Linked DNA regions of Notamacropus eugenii. The protein of the gene in region 1 interacts with the protein of each later gene in a pairwise test. Links are inferred from orthologs where the notes say so. Each region holds a gene or a part of one and is shown in the gene's direction. Other genes may lie near its edges.

What was found.
Region 2: the proteins of ZCCHC10 (region 1) and DZIP3 interact in binary tests that used the Homo sapiens proteins (3 or more experiments, as listed by UniProt). The link is inferred for Notamacropus eugenii from reciprocal best matches to the Homo sapiens genes ZCCHC10 and DZIP3.

What each region holds. Positions count from the first base shown.
Region 1 is NC_092872.1:345,603,288-345,613,833, reverse strand, and holds the start of ZCCHC10 (zinc finger CCHC domain-containing protein 10), read left to right. Parts: upstream 1-5,890; 5' UTR 5,891-5,960; intron 5,961-6,567; 5' UTR 6,568-6,614; coding exon 6,615-6,655; intron 6,656-10,546.
Region 2 is NC_092876.1:360,261,369-360,272,297, reverse strand, and holds the start of DZIP3 (E3 ubiquitin-protein ligase DZIP3), read left to right. Parts: upstream 1-6,034; 5' UTR 6,035-6,173; intron 6,174-10,929. UniProt on the Homo sapiens protein: E3 Ubiquitin ligase proteins mediate ubiquitination and subsequent proteasomal degradation of target proteins.

The sequences.
Region 1 (10,546 bases):
AATTATATATATCTATATATAGACATATAGATATGGATGTAGATAGATATACGCACATACATATACATATGAATGAATCTATACATTTTTCCATTTAACTGCATAGCATGGACTGTATAATAGACATTCTTCATTCAGCTGACTTTTCTTATATAGCCAATTAATCCAATTTTTTTTGAGTGATTATGGATCTCACTTAGTAGGCTCTATAATATTCCAAGGCATAATGCAATCAATACAATGTCATCTGAAAAGAGGAGCATCTCTTAGAACTCACTCCTTCACTTCGACTTCATACTGGATCTCCTTCATGACAGTTGTGAACACCTTTAAAAGCACTAAGGGCTTGATTCTTAAGGCCTCTAAAGGGAAGGGATGATGCTAATGATGTGGCAGTGAAAATCTCAGACTTTAGGTAACAAAGAAAACATTCCCACATGCTCACGTTCCCATTTATACATATAATAATAATATGCATTTGCTTCAAGGGCATCATTGATGAGAGCATTAATAATTCTTAGTCATTCAATAAATGAAAGAAATTTTAAGAAACAAAATAAATGGAATGTATTATATGGAAATAAAAGTTTTATATGACAAAAAGCAAGATGTCCAGAATGAAATGGAAACCAACAGAGACTGGGAAATAAAAACCTTTGCAAGACATATTTCTGATATGTTTGGTTCCCAGTAAGGAACTGACACAAATCTTTAAGAGTAAGAGCCATTCTTCAATATGAGAATGGTCAAAAGATATAATCAATCAGTATTCTAAAGAAGAATATATATATATGAAATTATTCAAACTAATTCTGGTTATTCAAATAACCAGAGAGATACAAAATTAAAACAACTCTGAGATGTCCTTTATCTCCCTTAAACTGATCAGAATATTTCTAAACTCTAAAATTCAAAGTAGAAAGGGAAGGGAACAAATACTAAGTGCTTACTATGTGCTAGGCATTGTGCTAAGCACTTCACTGATTTTATCTTAGTAGGCATAATATTATGCAATCTGTGGAGCTAGGAATTGTTGCAATCCTTTTGGAAAATAATACAGTAAGGAATTATGCTGTAAGAGTCGTGAAATCATTCATATCCACTCACATTTTCTGGGCTTGGCCTGACTCATTCCAGTCCCCTTGTAATTTAGCTTTGCTACTAGAACAAAATGAGACTGATAAATCAGTCAACAGTTAACAAAAAGATTTATTTAGTCTTAGCAAAGAGAAGAATATTCAGTAAGGATAGGCACTGACACTTTGAGTTTGTTCATCTTTCCCTGAGTTACCCTTTGCCATCCACCAGCCAAGCATAAGATTGACCTTGTCACTCCTTGTGGCCACTTTGTTGGTTGGTTGCCCTTCGTTCTTGAAGAGGATCAAAATGACGTTACTATATAGAAGTCAAGGTACAGTGTGTCCAACTGTGGCCAATCAGACCAATATGAGCTCAGAAGACTCTACCCCAAGTTGAGTACAAATAGCCCGTATGAACATCTGGAGTGAAGATGTCTTTACATTTGTGCATCTTATTTCTTTTGAACTATTGCAATTTTGCTTTGATCATAGAGAACAGTGCCTTCTTTGGTGTGGGCATACTATGGTAGGTAGTCATGTGCCTGTGTCTCCCATGGCTCACAATCAATTCCAAAATTCTTCAGAGAGATCTTTAAAGGGTCCTTGTGTTGCTTCTTCTGTCCACCATGTGAGCATTTGCCTTGTGTGGGTTCTCTGCAAAAACATAAGTTTGACATTTAAACAACATGGTCAGCCCACAAGAATTGTGCTCTCTGTAGCAGAGTTTGAATGCTTAGTAGTTCAGCTCAAGAAAAGACCTCAGTGTTCTGTACTTTATCTTGCGAGATGATCTTCAGAATCCTCCTAAGACTATTTAAATGGAAGGGATTCAATTTCCTGGCATGGTGCTGATAGATTGTCCAGGTTTCACAGGCATACAGCAATGGGGTCAGCATAACAGCTCTGTAGACCTTCAGTTTGGTAGGCAGTCTAAGACCTCTTTTCATCACCCTTGCCTTCAGAGCCTCCCATACACCGAGCTAGCTCTGGCAGTGCATGTGTCAACCTCATCACCTATCCCTGAAAATGCCAAGGTAAGTAAACTTATTCACAGCATTTAAAATTTCTCCATTTGCTATAACTGATGGTTCCATGTATAGATGGTGTGGTGCAGGCTGGTGGGGAACCTTGGTTTTCTTGGTGTTAATTGGTAGGCCAAAATTAACACAAACTGGTAAACCCTGTGGAGTTCATGTTTTTTATTTAGCAGTTTCTGAATTTCTCTATCATTTTCATCAAACCGTTCTTGATGTTTATGAGTGTTCTGGCCCAGATGAGTAAAACTGATTCTGTACACCAAATCTCTGAAAGCTGTTCACTCCTTTTCTGCTCCACTGTTACCAGCAATATGTTGGTTCAGCTTTCCCTCCAAGTTAGCAACAAATAGTTCACCAAAGTTTTCTAGTAGATATCTTGCCTTCAGCTGCCACTTTTGTTGAATGGGAATGTTCAGCTTGGAAATACACAAGAATGAGGCTTAAGCCAATGGCATTAGAGAAAGACATCCCCAGCTTCTACCCTAGAACCTTGAGAGGAGAGATACTTTGGGAGGAGTCCCAAGTATTGCTGTTCTTATAAGAAATACAGAATGAAAAAATTAGAACCAATGTATATATACTGACTATAGCTATGTAAAAGCAACAAACCTGGAGAAAAAGAAAAGGTTCACGGGAATAATAGGATGATATTGTCATTATATCGTAAACTTTCTAGACAAACTTTAGATGCCTTCATGTAAATCATTTTAAAGTCATTTGATTATTTGAATGTTACTGTTTCTTAATATTTACTAAATTTACAATTCTCTTTTAGCCATTTTTTAATTTTATTTTTAATGCTCATTTAAAAAAATTTTGAGTTCCAAATTCTCTCCCTCTCTGCCACCTCTTTCCCCATTAAAAAGGCAAGAAATGTGGTATCAACTATACATGTGAAATCATGTAAAACCTATTTCCATATTAGCCATGTTGCAAAAAAAAAAAGGCAAGAAAAAATAAAGTGAAAATATGATGCTTCAATCCACATTCAGACTCCATTAGTTCTTCCTCTGGAGGTGTATATCATTTTTCATCATAAGTCCTTCCAAATAGTCTTGGATCATTGTCTTGCTCAGAGTAGCCAAGTCATTCACAGTTCTTCATTGTACAATGTTGCTGTTACTGTGTAGCTTGTTCTCCTGGTTTTGTTCATTTTTCATTATCTCGTTTAAGTTTTCCCAGATTTTTTTCTAAAAATATCCTGCTTGTCATTTCTTATAGCACAATAATATTCCATCGCAAAACTATGCCACAACTTGTTCAGCCATTCCCCCATTGATGAGCATCCCCTCAATTTCCAATTCTTTGCCACCACTGAAAGAGCTGCTACAAATATTTTTGTACATTTAGTTCCTTTTCCTTTTCTTTTGATCTCTTTGGGATACGGATCTAATAGTGGTATTGCTGGGTTAAAGGGTATACATGTGAACTTACAATTTTCTAAAAAGAAATAGCAAGTGACAATGTTGAAGAAGCAAATGGGGGAAAAATTATGTTTTTATTTTCACCAACCTCTAACTGAAAAATAGCATTTCCTTGGATTGTAAATTTAAAAAAAAAACTATTCCAGGAGTCCACAGGCTTCATCAAAAGAAGTCAAAGAAGTCCAGGATAAAAAGCAAAACAAAAAATAGCCAAACAAAGGTAAAGAAACTCTATTGTTTCTCTGTAAAAGAATCTACAGGTCCCTTTGAAATCTTTGCTTGTTTTAAAAAGGATTAATTACACAGTTTTGCAACAAGTTTGTCAGTTATTGAGATTGCTTTTCATTTTCAACTGTACTTTCCTTTTCTGTTTCATTGTAAGCTCTGATGATCTTTGAAACATTTGATTCCCCAATAGCCGCTACAATGTTTCCAGTGGTCATGGAAACGAACTTTCTTTCTAAGAGTTACTCTTTTGTACATTTCCTTGGAGTAATATCTATTCTTTAAAACCACAGAATTAAAAACACAGCAAAAAAAAGAACAATGAAACACTAGTGTATCCAACAGTCAACTGATAAAGAAATAAGTAAAGGTTTTGGAAACCAGATCAATCTAGTTTCATCTGGTCAAGGTCATATATTCCGAGTCAGTCTGGTATCAGAGAAAGAATACAAGCATTACTAGTACTGTCAAAAAGTGAAACCATATCAAAATTCACTTACCACTGTTTATGTTTGTCTATACATATAGATGTATTCTGTACATGCCTGCATGTGTATAACTTATCTCCCCTTAGAATGTAAATTATTTGAATTCTGGGACAGCTTGCTTTTGTCTCTGAATACCAGCACTTAACCTTGTGCTTGACGCATAGCAAGGCTTAATAAATGCTTTCTAATGTAGAGGAAATGTACAAAACCTATGTGCTGTATTGGGAAAATATCTCCCCAGAAATACCCTTAGAGTTCAAAGAACATACTCTGAAGAGTTGTATAAAGACAGACCCTCATTCTGATTTCTTCTCAAAGGAAAGACTTCACTAACCATAGATCTTCAGTCTCATCTAGATTTTCCGATGATCTGATGAGATTAACTACAGGAAAACACCCCTACCTAAAACAAATCTGATTTGGGGCTACACCAAGGTTACTGAAAAATTAAGACATTACCTATACCTGTTGAGGTTTATGGATGCTCAGGATCCCCAAATACCGACATGCCAGGTCCTGTCCAAATGAGTTCAACTCAAGCCTTCTTTCAGCCAAAGAAAAACTAAGTTTAATATCTGCCATATTGGGTAGATTTAAGGAATCTGAGTATTTGTGACGCTTGTATTGATAAGCAAGTCTGACAGAATCTGGGTTAGATTGAATATGAGCGCCTTCATGGAGGCAAAATGCATCTTATATACAAAAAGATTGTGAGTGGAATCTAGGGTTGTCCAAGTAGTCTGGGGGAACTAGAGTAAGGATTTAGGGAGGGTTTTGAAGAAGAGTCTAAGGAGGAGCTTGATAGAACTGGGGTGACTAGAGGTCAGAATCAAGAGAATGGGATTTTGATAGGATCAAGGCTGGGAGGTAGCCAGAGACAATCTGGAGGTAACAGACAATGGAGGGCTAGCCTATGTTAAGGGTAACAGATTTGGGCATGAAAAGCCAGATCAAGTGGAAAGATTCAAGGAGAATTCAAGGGGGTTCCCAGAGTCTATACCCCATCACACCCAGAAACAAATTACCTAACTTCCTGTCCCTATTACTCAACCTCAGAAATAGGGAAAGTGACTGAGCAGCCTCACCTAATAGACTCCTTTTGCTACCTGCCCTAAAGTTGTGTAAAACTGTGTAAAGTTGTGTGTAAAAAAAATGTGTGTATCTTCCTCTATTCTTAGGAGTTGTTGGTCACTTGGCAACTACCCATCAGCTAATGCTAATTAAACTCTATCCTCTAACCTTGCCTCTAGATGTATTGACTTTCAGTCAAATGGATTTAGGTAGGAGAAATTATTCTCCAGGATGAATTTAGGATCCCTGGGCTAATACGTTTGATTTAAGGTTGGATTAGAGGCCATGATGGTGCATGTGAAAAACTTAAAAAACATCCTGGGATGCTTTCCTCTTTCTTTTTACCCCAGACACTGGAAAGAATTACAATTTTCGGTTCAAGTCATGGGGAGGGGAGTAGGGGAAGAGATATGTGGGGACATGCCCATTCTGTCTGGAGTTTAATAACTTACACTAATAATAGGATAAGTTGGAACGCTAGGAGTGTGGAGGGTGGAGAGGGCAACACACCCCAATAAGGGAGGAGCAGTGGTTACAAGATACACCCCATGGGAGGGAGGAGGAGAAATAGAAAGAGGGTAGAGAAGAGGAAGAAGGCAACACTGGACGCCCAACTGCCCCACCACTAGATTGTCGGTACGTAGCCTCGGTCTAGGAAGGCAGAGAAGAGGGATCAGAGAGAAGGGAAGGTTAAGTAGGATTGAGCTCCTCCCTTTTGCTACCAATTACGCGGTTTTTGGATTTGTGTGGAACTCCCCATCACTCTCGGAAGCCCGGGACACGCCCCTACAGAGGAGGGAGGGAGAGAAGACCGGCCAGGGGTGGAGGATGGACAGTGACAATGGAGTGAATAGAGCAGAGGGAGGGACATATAGGACACGCCCCCTGAGGGGAGGGAAAGAAGATAGGACACGCCCCTTGTCCCAGGAGCTCTGCCCCCTTCCCCTCCCTTCTGGGACCAAACTGACAGGTTTGAGTTTCCACTTCCAGAACCCATTAAGTGTCTTCCCAGTTTTCATTTCCCCCAAAGCACGGCAACGATGCCCAGGATTCTGGGTCTGGAAGCCAGGGTTGGCCGTCTGTCTCCCCAAGGAGGGCTCAGGCGGATAATATCCCCGGTGTCTACTTCAAGTCCTCCCAGGCCCCGGAGGAAGACTGCGTCCACCAATGCGAGGCCTGGCTGCCCCTCTAGCCACAGCTAGTCCCGTCTCTATGACGTCTAATGAGTTCTAGTTCCACCTAGGGGGAACTTCCCAGGATGCATCGCGGCGGTCCCCGGTTCTCGCTGACATGGCGACTCCCATGCATCGACTTATCGCTCGGAGGCAGGCGTAAGTGAGCACCCCCGGCGGCGTAGGGATTTTTCCATTCTATTTCCCGTAGCCAACCTAACTTTCTTTGAGGACCCTCAACGGCCCTGGGAAGTGGGGTTCCCTCTCTTGGGGGGGCATTGAATGGGGTGAGCCAAGGGGGTGGAAAGGGAGACAACCTAGATGTTGTGGGCCCCGGGAAGAGGGAGAGTGGCCTACGTCGGAGAGCCCCCGGTAGGCAGCTTGGGGAGGTGGAGCGCGGGAGGCCTCCCTTTAGCAAGGGAAGGAACGTCCGAGTTTTTCCAGATAAGAGTGACGTGAGCAGATCTTCGGTGGTTACTGAAACAAATGTCTTTGTACACCCCTGTCAACACTACTGTTGGCTCCAGTCCGCGGCTTTACAACTTGTCATTATTTTCTTTTCATCTTCTCTCACTTTATAGAGGATGATGGAAAAAAATCCCTAATTTAGAGCTTTTTTAAAGCAGGGAAAATTACATGAGGAATGTGCTTGTTAGCTTCAGTTGCCCTATTTATGATTCACAAAGCAAATGTACTATTGAGGATTCTAATATTTAACAGTAGGTAAAGGATAAGGGCTCACGAAGAGTCGAACACGACTGAAAATCGACTAAACAGCAACAAAGGATGTGATCGTGGGAAATAAATATCAGTTCGGTAAACCCAGAAAAAATAATTTGTAGATCCTTGGAGTCTCATTCTAAAAGAATAGAACTTGAAGAAGCTGTAAGATTCTTAAAAAGTTAGTATCGCTTTTTAAAAACAAATATGAGTATTCTGATCATTATGTAAATTGTAGACTTAGGAAGTTTTATTATTATTATACACATAAATCTTGTATGAAAGAAGTAAACATAACTATTTTCCTTTATCATATTTTGACAAATGTAAATAGTCTCATTAAATTTATTTTGGGGAGCTTTTTGTTTTTTGTTTTTCATTGTGTAAGTACGACAAAATATGCGCAAGTATAAAGTTGTACCTGTTGAATAAGTGGGCAGAAAGTTTACAAATAACACTTATTTGGAATTGAAATAAGTTAAAATGTAGTCATACTTTATTTACTGTCACTGTACTTCCAGAACTTGAATTGGAACTTTAACTTGAAAAAATACTCCTCTTTTTTGTATTTAAAGGACGCATTATAAGTCATAAAGGTCAAGTCAACAAGCATTTATTAAGGGAAGGGTTAAGAAATCCTGAATGGTAACACTATTTTTTGGGGGGGTTGGTTTGTTTTCAGTTCTGTCTGACTCTTCCTGACCCCACTTGAAGTTTTCTTGGCAAAGATCCTGGAGTGGTTTGTCATTTTCTTCTCCACTTTATTTTACAGATGAGGATTGAGGCAAACAGGGTTAAGTGACATGCCATGTTAAGTGTCACACAGCTAGTGAGGTTGAATTTGAACTCAGGAAGATGAGTCATCTTGACTCCAAGCCCAATGCTCTATCCATTGCACCCCTAGCTGCCATAAACCTTAGTCTTTTCAGGACTATCATTCCTAAAACTAGGATATTATTCAGTGTTCTTTTAGCTCATATTGTTCTAGCTCACACAGGCTCACACTATATTATCACAGTTACTTGAAAAGAAGCTCAAAATTTCCAATAACATGATATAGGGCAGGCAACAGTAGGGACCAGCTTGGGCCCTAATCTTGGCTACCACCAAACCTATTCCAACTTCAGCTTAAATATAGAAAAATTTTTCTGGCTTTTTTAGGGTTAGCTTCTAGACTCAAACCAAGTTTGTTGGGCCGTGTAATTAAACTGTTATATGCTAAGTTCAATTTTATATACTATAACGTGAAGGACAAAAAAAAAATACAGGGTATAGTCCTTATTCTTTAGGTATTTACCATATCAAAAATTTTTAAGCAAATAATATGTATTAATAATTAGTAATATATTATCAGATGTTTGTGTAGTTCAGATATGCACTCTAGGAATTCAGGAAATTAAAAGATTTAGCTAGTATAAAAACATTGGGCTCTCAACTGAGCTTTGGGTGAGAAATGGAATTTAGATTGGTAGAGATGGGAAGGTAAGCCATACAGGAACAACAGTTTGAATAAATGAAAACACATGTGAACTTGGCTTGTATGGGAACCAGTAATTGGATTAGCCTGATAAGAATGATGGGAAATGGAGTTTTCTAAGTTAAATGGGTTCCACTGTTAAAGGCTGTTTCAGAGGAAGAAGGGATGAAATTTTAGAAAACTGTATGAAAACTCCAAAACTTAAAAATTTACTCATTTTGATAGCTGGATAGATCAATAGATCTCATTTATGTTGGTATTCCCTTCACCAGTGCAGATTGCATACCTTCTTTTCCTAAATAATTCTTTCCTGTACTTTAATACTTCAGTGAATTTGTATTCTGCTTGATGCGGGTAACCCTCCAGAATGCAGATCATAACTGTTAATGCCCTCTCATTATGTGTAACTCTTATCCATGTCATCCCACAAATCTTCTATAGGAGTTCCATGAAATGTTTAGGGGCTTTCCCTTAAATCTCCTGTTGATTCATGGATACCAATGCCGTACATCAGTCATCCATCCCTTGCTCTCTTGACATGACTTGCCCATCTTTTCTTTCTAATGGCTTCTTTTAAAGATCCTCATCCATGTCTTCCACAGGTGTTCTTTTGAGGGTCTGCCTAATGTAATGAAAGCTTTTTTCTAGATCTTTTAATATTTCATGAATATCATTATAGTGCATAGTGTCCGTTATTTCTCACTCTCCCAACATTAGTAGCTTTATTCCTTCTAAATCATACATTTACTTGATAATCTTTCATGACATTTTTGTGTGCAAGTCATCATTGGCAATATCCTACTATCTATTTCAGAAAAATCTTTTTCAATTAAATATTTATTAATGCCAGCAACATGAAAGGGATTATTCTTAGTATCAGATATTTTAAAAAAACAGCCCTTACCTTCATGGAGCTTACCTTCTTCTGGAGGAAGATACAAGATAATTTGATAAGGGAAAGGCATAAACAGCTGGGGGAGTCAGGGAATATTTTACTGATGAGGTGCCATCTGAGATAAATCTTGAAGGAAGACAAAGATTCTGAGAAGTGGAGATAAGGGAGTGACTTTCCAAAGAGTGGAATATGTTTTTTACAATATACCTGGTCAGAAAATGGAACATCAAGTTCAGGGAAGTCTAATTTGGCTAAAACATAGGTTGTGAAGAGGAGTAATGTTGAAAGTATGAAAAAGTAATTTGGAGAAAGGTTGTAGTAAGGCTTAAATGCCAGGCTGAGAAATTTTTATTTTGAAGGCAGGGAGGAGTGTTTTTGAGCAGGAGAATGACATGGTCAGAATTATGCCTTAGATTATTTTGACAGTTGTGTGAAGATTGGATGGAAGAGAGTAAAGATTGGAGGAAGGGACACCAATTAGTATGCTACAATAGTCCTTATCAGAGGGCTTGAACTAGTTTGGTGGCTGTATGAGTGAAGATAAGGGAGTAGATAAGAGAGGTACTGTTGAGGTATCAACTGATTGAATGAGAGGAATGAGAATGAGGAAAGGATGAGACCATGGTCATAAAACTGGGTGTCTGGGAGGACAGTGCCCTGAATAGAAATGGAATTTGTCAGAGGGAAGAGATTTCCTGTTAGGTAGGGCATGTTATGTTTTAGACATATTGAGTCTAAGATGTCAGTATGACATTCAAAAGATGTTCACCAGAGAGATTAGGTTTGATGGTTATATAGATTTAGGAATCAGTTGTACAGAGATGATTGAACTCTTAGGAAGTAATGGATTTACTAAGGGAGAGAGTATAGAGAGCAGAGAAGACGGCTCTGTGTAGAGTCTTGGGGTCAGGAGATAATTAACTAGCAAAGGAAACTAAGAAGGAGAGGTCAAAGAGGG
Region 2 (10,929 bases), on another chromosome or scaffold:
TTTATGACTGTGCTAACATATTAAAAATAATGCCACTGCCCAAATTATTCTACAGATTTAATGCTATACAAATCAAATTACTGAAGACATACTTAAAAATTCAACAAGAAAGAAAATTCCCTTCTTAGAAGATGAAAATATAATTTTTAAATGAGGGAATGCATGAAGCTATTAGATGTCAAGCTATTCTGCAAAACAGTAATTATAAAATATGTATTATAAATACACATTATATTATACATTATATTACTATTGCATTATAAAAGTATATATGTATAAAATATATGATATGTAAAACACATAAATATAAAATTATTAGTATACAAAATAGTAATTATAAAAAAACTTTATGCTATTGGTTAAAAAACAGAAAAGTGAGCCAGTGGAATATACAACTTAAGCATATTAGAAGAAGATCAGGACACAACTATGAATTGCTTTTCCTCCAGTCCAGTTGATATAATCACCAAAGATAAAAGGAAGTAGGCAGAAAAAATAAGATGTCAGTCTTACAGGACCAGATGTAAACATGTTTTCTATAAAACTGAAGGAATTAGAAAGCAGATAGCCAGATACCACCCTGAAGGTGCCCAGTCTCTCATGATCTTAGAAGCTAAGCAAGACTGAACCTAGTTAGTATCAATCAGTTAGCCCTTAAATATTTATTAAGCACTTACTATGTGCCAAGAACTGTGCTAAACACTAGTGTAGACACAAGTGGGAAACAGTATGGCTAGCTAGAGAATCTACCTGGGAGATACTGACTGTGTCACCCTGGGCAAATAATTATACCTTTCAGTGTTCTAGGCAACTTTTTAAGACTATGAATTGCAGAGAAGATGCTCACCTGTATTGGTAGAGGGTGGTCCTTATAGTAATGGAATCACAGGTGGTTTGTATTCCTATCAGAGCTATCAGCTAGCCAGGGATCAATCACACTCCCAGTGACCCTTTAAAAATTGAGACAAATGAGGCAACTAGGTGATGCAGTGCAGAGAGCATCAGTTCTGGTGTTAGAAGGACTTGAGTTCAGAAGGGACCTCAGACATTTACTAGGTGTGTCACTCTGGGCAATTCATTTAACCCTGATTACTCTAAAAAAATTGAGACACACTAAGAAGAGAATTGAAACAAGAGAAATCTCCAAGGAATATGATTTCTGGCAGGATAGAAAAGAATCAGTCATGAAGATGTTTCTTGCCTCAGAGAAAGGAGAAGGGATTTCTCCTATCTTCTTTGACAATAGTATCTTCTAGTGGATTTCTCTTACCCCATAGGAGATACTGCATCTATCAGGAAGGAGTGCTGAGAGTCAGTGCAGAAGACAGCTCTGAGATATGTGACTTCATTCATTTTAGAAGAGAGATAGTCCTGACCTTTGGGGGTTGAGTTTTGAAGAGGCACAGACTCTGACTGAGGTACTTTCTCAGCAAAGATGGTGTGCCCAGGGAAGCATCATGATGATATGAGAAAGAAAAGACCTTGAGGCCCAGACAGTCAACAAATAAAGAGAAGGCAGCTGTGGCACAGTGCACAAAGAACTGATAACAAAGACCTTGATTCAAGTCCTGTTTCTGACCCTGGGTAAGTCACAGCTTTTCAACATTCCAGGTAACTGTCTAATATGGTAACTATCAGAGTCAGGAAAGTTCTATACTAGTATGAGAGCTTTCTCAAAGGAGTTCCCTTGAACCAATGACATCACAGGTGCAGAAAAAAAATCAATCCAAGGATATAACCTAGAGTGGATACTAATTAATGTTATCTAAAATAACGAGTGAGTCAAAGAACAAATCATAGAAACCATAAATAATTACATTAGCTAAAATTATAAAAAATGAGAAATATGGAAAACAGTTTGGAGTTATGCCAGAAAAATTTCTTTCTTTTAGAGAATGGGTTCTTATCCCAGGGTCTGTGGATAGATACCCATGAATTTGGATGGGGAAAAATTACTTCTTTAGTTTACTAATCTTTGACTTCATTTTAAAAAAAACATTATGCCAAAAAGTGACCCATAGGCTTCAACAAATGGCCAAAGGAGGTTATTAGGGTAAGAATTCCTGCTTTAGAGAGTTTTTATGTATTGTTATATGTCTTGTGATACAACCAACTTTGTTTCTGAGTCCATTTTTTATGCTTATTCCCTGTCTGTTTTTTCTTAGGGTGTTTTCACTTTTTTTTCCAATTCATAACATATATCATGTTAGAGTTTTCCTGTTTGCTCATTTCTTTGACTGATCCTTTTCCTTTTCTGAAAAGTTGGCTTTTTCCTCTCTTTTTTGGGAGCTCCATTTTACTTTTCAGGGGCATTTCTTCATCTCTTCTTTTAGAGGTTATTGAGGCAATAAACTCCTTTATGATTCCTGACTGACTTTTTGTTGGAAGTGTTCCAAGTTGCAGATTTCCAACTTAAATTTGTAGCGAGTCAGAGTTTATCTTTTTAATATATTATAAATACATGCCAAGTAGCTAGTCATATTCAATCTAAAAGATAGTTGAGCAAAAAGGAAATTTGAATAATAGCCTTCAAAGGATTACAAAGCTAATTGAAAGGAGTCTTACAAATACAAGTCAAGGGAATGGTAACTAGGAACCAGAGTGTAAAAGATGAATTCAGGATTAGACTAGATAGAATCAGATGGAATTTAACAGGAACAAATAATTAAATCTTACACTAGTTCAAAAAGTCATCTTGATGTGTTACAAGATGGAGGGAGGTATAGAGAGAGAACAGTTCTTCATTTCAAAAAACATCTAGGGGTTTTAGAAAACTTTGGACTCAGTAATATCTCAACAGTGTGATATGCCAACCAAGAAAGGCAATTATATTTTTTAAGTGGCATTAGAGTACAGTAATTAAGAATTGATAGACTCACTGTATTCTGCTTTGGGAGGATCATTTGTATTGTGTTCTGTTCTGGCTGCCCCATTTTGAGGATTGATCAAAGGACCATCGATGATTAACTTGAGGTTAACGGGATAAAACCATTGTTTGAGATTTTGATTATGTGCTGAAAGACTGCAGCTCTCGGATAGGTTTGAACATGCCTAAAGAGTTATTAAGTCTCTCTATACTTCATGTCTTCATGGATTGAATAGATGTGAAGAACTTTGTTAGCATCTCCCTATGGAAGACCTGGGTATATGCAATGATACCTTATTGAGATAACTGAGGACATTTAGTTAATAGATATTGAGAGTAATCCACTTATACCTCATTGAGCATCAGTGATTGAGTTTCAGCGTTAGGAGTAATTTGATTGGCTCAGGCTACTGCAGATTAGAGTCTATTAAATCTAAATTTCCTAAAATTTTATTAAGGGATTTAACTTTTTTCTTTTTTAAAAATAGGTCTGAAAGTTGAGATCTTCCAGTCTTTTACTATTTATATCTCCCTGTAACTTACTTAGCCTTTCATTTAAATATATAGATGAAATGTTATTCAGTACATATATATTAAGTATTGAAATGAATTGTCTATGGTAACTTTAAGCATATATAGTTTCCCTGTTTATTTTTAGTCAAATCAATTTTTATGTTGTCCTGTCAGAGATTGCTTCAAATGAAGCATGAAATTTTGTTCCATTCCCTTATATTAACTCCTTATGAATCTTTATGATTCCAGTGTATCTCTTGAAAACAACATATTATTAGATTCTACTTTCTAATTCATTTTGATATCCTCTTCTGTTTTATGGATGAGTTCATTACATTCACATTCAAAGTTATGATAGTTGTATATTTCCTTCCATTCTATCATTTTATAATTTTTTCATTCTTTTCTTTCTGCCACCTTTTACAAAGAAGCGAGCAGTGAGGGAGAACGATTGTGCATAGACCAGTACTCTATGCTTTTGTGCTCCTGTCTCTTTTTCTCAGTCTGCTTGACCAGATCTCAATCATATCTCTTCTTTCTTTCCATTTAAACTCTTCTTGATATCTCTTCTTGAGGTTAGAGTTTGTTTTGCTTATAAATAATTCTTTCCAACAACTACTCTCTCACTCTCATTATCCTCACCCCACTCCTCCTCATTCCTTGTTTCCCTGTTGTGTTGAATGTATTTCTACACCAAACTCTTCCCTGGTGTATTACTTTTTCTGTTCCTTTACTTATTTTTCTTTTAAGATCATTAAAACACAACACCACTCCCGTATTTCCTTCATAGTTCTCACTTCTTTTCCAATACTTTCCTCTCACACACTTACTTTATAAGATCATTTTAAAACTCTAAAAAAAAACAAAAACAAAAAACCCCAACCTTTGTTTCATTTCTTCCAGCAATTCCAGTTGCCTTTGTGGCCAAACTATGTTTTTCTATGAGACCTTGCCTGTAGGCATTTTGGAGTAATTTTCCTCTTCCTGCTTTAGTTTGCTGTTCCTGGCATGATGCATCTTTTTTAGTGAGAGTCTTTTTTTTCTTTACTCATTCTTCTAACCTTACTTCCCAGATTGGAACTTTGTATTAAAACCAGTCTCTCCATAGTTTTGGAGGGAATGCTGGAACCGTGTTTGGCCATTTTTTTTTTGTTGTTCTCTGGGGTCCTACTACTTCTATCCTTAGATAATGAATGTATTCTTTAAGGCTCCCAGGGGGACATACAAATTTTCAGTGTGCTCTAAGTTATCTCATCTAGTGTAAAGTCTGGTCAGTACCCATCTGGTCTGAGCTTTACAAGTTCCTGATCATGGTTTGAGTCGGGGCAGCAAAATCATAGGTTTGCCTCTGGTTGGACCTCTAGTATACTGCTGCTACACCTAGGCTCCATCAGCTAGTTGCGTAACTGCAGATTCAAAGAGACAGCACTTCAGTGTCCTCTTTAGTCTGAACTCCCTGCCTTTTGATACTCAGCTTAAAGCCTTAGGCACCTGCTTCAGCTACTTTCAAGGCTATTGGAACAAATTGTTCTTGTCCATCCATTCCAGTGGGGGAAGACTTCACATGCTTGGAATAGACAAGCCCCTAACTCACTGACAGATTTGAGGCCTGTCAGTTACCCTCAACCTGGTTTAGCCTGTCTGCTGAGATGGTTTACTGGTTTACTGGAGTGTGGCTACACATGCTACAACTTCTTGGAGCCACAGGTGAGAACTGAGTGCCAGGTAGACACCAAAGGTGGATGAGCTGCCCTTGAAAAGGTCCACAAATTCCTTACACCAGGGGTGCTAATCCTCCTTGAAAACCTCATACACCCATGGGATGGGGAGCAGGTATGAATAAAAGATAAGTTTCAGCTGAAGACAAAATCTAAAAGCAGAGAGGCATTCCATAAATTATTGCCAGAAATCTACACATGCAGGGCGATTATCAGTGATCTACAGAGACTTCATGCTCTGCAAGGTCAGTAAGAGGTAGGCCTGTCAGAACAGTGATGAAATCAGCATTATATAAATTCTTACTATTAATGTTATTATTTTTATTGTTATTAACAGTGACCTTTCATTAATGTATAAGTTGTGAGTTGCCCTTCCATTCCAGAGCACCAGGCATGGCCCTATGTGTGACTCTCCACATGTGGTACCTTTGTTGTGTTCACTCTTTACATTAGTAGTGTCTATATCTAAAGAAGAGTAGATCCCAGATTTATAGGGAAATGTATTGCTTTTCTTACTTTACTGTTTCATAAAATACCTTTGATTTGAATTAAATGTGTCTTCTTGTTGACTAGTAAAGGTGAGACTATCAGGAAGAGCATTTTGTGAACTCCCATTTGGAGTGGCTTTGAAATCACCAAGTATCTTGAAATTGGTGTAACCTTGTCTGGTGGAATCCATTCTGAGAGTAGGGTTTGGTGGTGGTGCCCCCAGGCGTTACAGATAAAATCAACTCAGTGCAGTTTACTGTGGCCAGGTAGGTAAAGGTGTATGCAGATTCTGTTTTTAAAAAACAAACAACAGCTACAAAAAACTACCAAGGGACTTTAGGCTGCCCTCAGATGACACATTTGTAACAAGCCTGAATGTGAGAGCACAGGTTGCTGGGAAGGGGCGGGTCCCTCAAGTTCCAGGAAGGAGGGCTCAGTTAATAAGACCAAATGAGTTGGTTTCAGTTTCATACTAGCTGGAAAACTTTGTCCCTGCCGGTGTGACCACAGCAGAGAAGCCCAGATTCACCCACCTCTTGTCCCTACCTAAGAATTTTAAAGACCTTCTCTCATTCTATCCTAGGACGGTAAGCACGTTTTGTGATTTTAAGTGAACCCTGTTAAAATATTTGTCTAATTAATTCCTGCCAGTTACTAGGAACACAACCCCCATGCGGCGGCTGCTACTGCTGCCAAACACTTCTGGTCCTAATTCTGGGCTTCTGAAGCTGTGACAGATCTGTATTCTGTAGTGAATGATAGAAAAGGGGGCTTGGGGAGGAATGGAGTTTCCCCTAGAGCCCTTTTCACTGGATATCTATTTAAGCAGCCTAAAAAAAATACACCCATACTAATCTTAATCCCTCGTTCAATCATTGCACAGCCTACTTTATTTAGTACGTTCATTCATTTTCCTACCCTTTTAAAATTCAGTCCAATACTTTGAGTATATGGGGGGAGGGGAGGAGGCGATTAGGGGTAACCTCTATTTCCTACTATAGTTTGGAAACTGCCTTTTTTTTTGAAGACACTGATTCTCGCCTTGTAAACACCCTCCCCCCCCTCCAATATTTCCTCAATATTCCTTCCTTCTGTTTACAACTTGCTGGGGCCTGTCATGAATAGCAGCAGACTGAGAGCTTTAAAAGGGGAAAGCTTTAACCTACACTTAAAAAATTTTAGGAAATGAGCTAGCTGCTTTTTTGCATATTGAAGCCATAATACTTGTCCCTGGTCAGCAATTGATTAATGAGTGAGTCTAACAGCACTGCAGGGACTCTGGTTCTTAATGTCGTTTGGGAAATCCAAGGGAATGGCAATAAGTCTCAAGGAAAACATTTTCATCACATGATCATGATTAATCCTTAGGGCTTGTGTCCGTGCCTTACCTGACTTCATGAATGAGTTAAAACACAGAGAACAAGTTCATCCCTCCTCCCCAACCTCACATAGACTTTCTGCCTACACCCAGAAATAAAGGCAGGGGAAAACCCTGCAAACTTGCTTTACACACACACACACACACACACACACACACGCACGCACACACATGCACACACGCACACACGAAATTCTAAATGGGTAAGTGATGAAAGCAAGAAGTATTTCAGTCTGGGGTGAAGAGGAAGATGGGAGTTCTTTGAAGACTTTCAGTTTCAAATAGGTAGGACACCTGCAGAAAAGTGTGCTTGGGGGTGGGGGTAGGGCAGGAAAAGAGAGATTGGCAGATGACATTACACTGCCTGAGAATTCGCCAGTCCTGCAGATTTCAGTATGTGATACCGAACAGGTATAAAGTCAAATATTCAGACTTTTCCAGGAGGCAAACTTTACTGTATGCACAGATTAGTAATGAATCCCTACATCCAGTAGGGATGCTTTGCTTATGCATTCATTTGTGAAAAATGGTCCCCACAGCAATACAGAACTTCATGCCAGTGTAGTTCTTTCTTTCATGTGTTCCTCCCACAATGCCAGCACACTGTTTGGTGACTGCAGATGTCTTGAGTTCAGGCCTCACAGTTACCATTTGTACATTATTTCAGGGACAAGTCAAAGATGCAGAATAGTTACAGATCAGCAGTGAGTGACGGGGTGTTCTCATTGGGAAATGAGATAGTCCTAACTCCCTCTCCCCTAGACTTGAGAGTAAGACCACCATGTTTAATATTATTTACATGAAAAAAAAAAGTTTTCAGAGTTCCAGACAGTTGATTAATAAATCAACCTTTGTTCTGGAACACAACTTTATAAATTGATTATTCATGTACCTAAGTACCTTGCAGGCAAAACTTACAAGAAGTTCTGCAGGTATAACTTGAAGACAGATGCTATCTCACAACTTTAAGAGAACATGGAACCTTTCTGAAGTAAAAAATCTGTCTGGCCTCAATGGTAGAACCTGGAAATAATAAACCAGTCTGCCCTCTTGACATCTAGGCACCCTGGGACAAGTGTTTAGTTGTTTTTTCCTGTCTGTGAGCCCAGTGAGAGTTTTCTTGGCAGAGATACTGGACTGCTTTGCCATTCCCTTCTCTAGCTCATTTTACAGATGAGGAAACTGAGTTAAGCAGGTTTAAGTGACTTGCCTAAAAGTTCCATAGTTAGTAAGTATTTGAATCTGGATTTCAACTCAGGTCTTCTGGCACTAGTGCTCTATTTACTTCACCACCAACTTATGCCTTCTAACTACTTTTCTTCACCCCTAAGACCTTCCCTACTGTGCCACTTTTCCCTGGGTAGGACAGGTAGGGGAGGTACTGTGACAGAAATTAGTGTATATACAGGTAACTTGCCTTGAGTGCAAGGAATTTAGTGGATCTTGGGCTAGAAGGCACTCATCTTGTAGGTGAGTAGAAGCAGGCTTGAGAGTGAGACCATCATATTTAATATTGTCTACATGAGAAAAACACTTTTCAGAGTTCCAAACAGTTGACTTGTCAATCAATTCTTTGCATTCATTGCCGTTAGCAGATAATAAAAAAATTAATGCTACTTATGCCATTCAAGGAAAAGAGATACTTTATGCTCTGCTTTCTTTTTTATCTTAATTACTTTACTACACATTTCTTACTATCCTGCTGGCAATAAAAATTTTGAACCACAGACTTATTGTTCGGTTCCATATAGGCTACCATCTCTTCAACTTCATAGTGTCATACTCTTTAAAAAAAAAAAAAAACTTGTTAAAAAAAGATTTAAATTAAGTTCATTGGATTAGGGATCCCAGAGACCATATCATTTTACAAATAACTTGCCTAAGGTCACACAGATAGGATTTGAACCCAGGTCTTCTTAATTAGGAATGAGTGTTTTCTTCATTATACTTATGCTGCTGCCTAAAAAGCAACAAAACGAAACAAAACACAATTTTTAACAGAAGCATTGAAAGTTAACATGAGTATCATTTCATGTTCAATGATCCCAGAGTTCCTAGTCCATTGAATTGATGATATAGGTCATTCAGATATGTTGTATGACCTTGGGCAAAACAGATACTTCATCCCCTGGTCTGTTTCCTCATATGTAAAAAATGGGACATTTTTTGGGAACATGGCTAATAGAGAAATTTACTTTGAATGTTTATACATATTTGTAATGGGTTTTATATTTCTTGTCTTCTCAGTGAGTGGGAGTGGATTTGGAACTTCATTTTAAGTCTCAACTAAAATTCCTTCTTTCCTGGAATCCTTCTCCATTCCCTCTTTAATTTTGATGCCTTCCTTCTTTTGTTTCCCATTTATCTTGTGTGTAGTGTGCTTTACAAACATTTGCTTGTTGCGCCCCCCTTTAGATTGTAAGCTCCTTGAAGGCAGGGCCTATCTTTTGCCTCTTTTTGTATTTCCAGCACATAGTAGGTGCTTAATAAATATTGATTGATTGGAATTAAAAATAAAATAAAATTGTCTTTAAAAAAATAAGAAGTGGAATTAGATAATCTGTGATGTCTTTTCCAGTCCCAAATTCTGTGATTTTGACTTAGAAACTACTTTGTGGACGATGGAAAAGAATGTGGCACAAAAGATCAGAATCTGTTGCTCTTAGAAAACACAACTTTTGTTTTTTCACCATGTCTTTGGGGAACTGGAGAATGACTCAGAGCAATTCATCAAATCTGAGTTGCTGGGGGATGGTAACTAAGTGCATGTTGTCAGATGTGTCAGAGCATGCTCTATTTGGACCTCTCCCAGTGACAGAGTGGTTGTATGTGGTTTGTTTGGGTGACTGGTTGTTAGGGAGATAAAATTTCCTCCTTACTGTCAGATCTGTCACCAGGCGAGTCATTACAGTGCTCCTTTCAAAGTCACCAAATGAAAGCTCTTTTTAGGTTTTTGTCTTAACAAGTGGAACTCAGGGGTTCTTCTCACATGTGGGGACTCCCTTAGCTCCTTACATCATCTGGGTGAGCATCCACCCCAGCTAGATCTCCACAAACCCAATGGACATATTGATACTCATGAGCCAACCAGCTAATTTAAAAGAAAAATGAGGTTTGAGGCTCAAATTCTTCAAACTGATCAACTGTAGTATTAGACTTCTCTGGGCTAATTGGCCATTTCATTTTGGCCGTACAGACATAGTCTACATTTAATGGTTTAATCCTTCATGTGCATTTTTTTTTTTTTTAGGGATATGATATTTCCCTGTAACTTTACTTAATATTGATGCTGTATTTATTGGTATGTGTACTTGGCTTATTATTAGAATAAAATCCTTGTGAGTAATAATAATATGATGATGATAACTTAGCATTCATATGTACTTTGAGGTTTGCAATACATATACACACATATATACATACATACATTTAGCGTGGGTGTATGTGTGTATACATGTGTTGTGTGTGTTTTTTATTTAGTCTTCACAGCAACCTTGTTAGGTAAGTACTCTTATTATCCCCATTTTTATAGATGGGGAAACAGGCAAAAAGAGGTCAAGTGATTTATCCAGGGTTACACAACTAAGTCTATGAGGCAGAATTTGAATTCAGATCTTCCTAACTCCAAGTCTAGTGTTATATCCGTTATGTCATCTACTTCCCTCAGAGTAAGGATTGTTTCATTCATTTTATTTGTGTCTCTGGCACTTAACAAAATGCTTGACAAGTTGGTGGATACTTAAATAATACTTGTAGATTGATCGTTGATTGACCAAATGTCCCCAAAAGATTAAGCATGTAATTTTATAACTTTCTTGTTCTGCAGTACTATCCATGCAATATCTAAGCTGTGTACTTGATCTTGTGGAGTTTTCCAAAATTTGGGAGGTAGCAGAATTCTTAGGCAATATTATTCCTTGTTTGGGAACTCAGCCTCTGTTTTAATATTGGGTTGTAATGTGGAA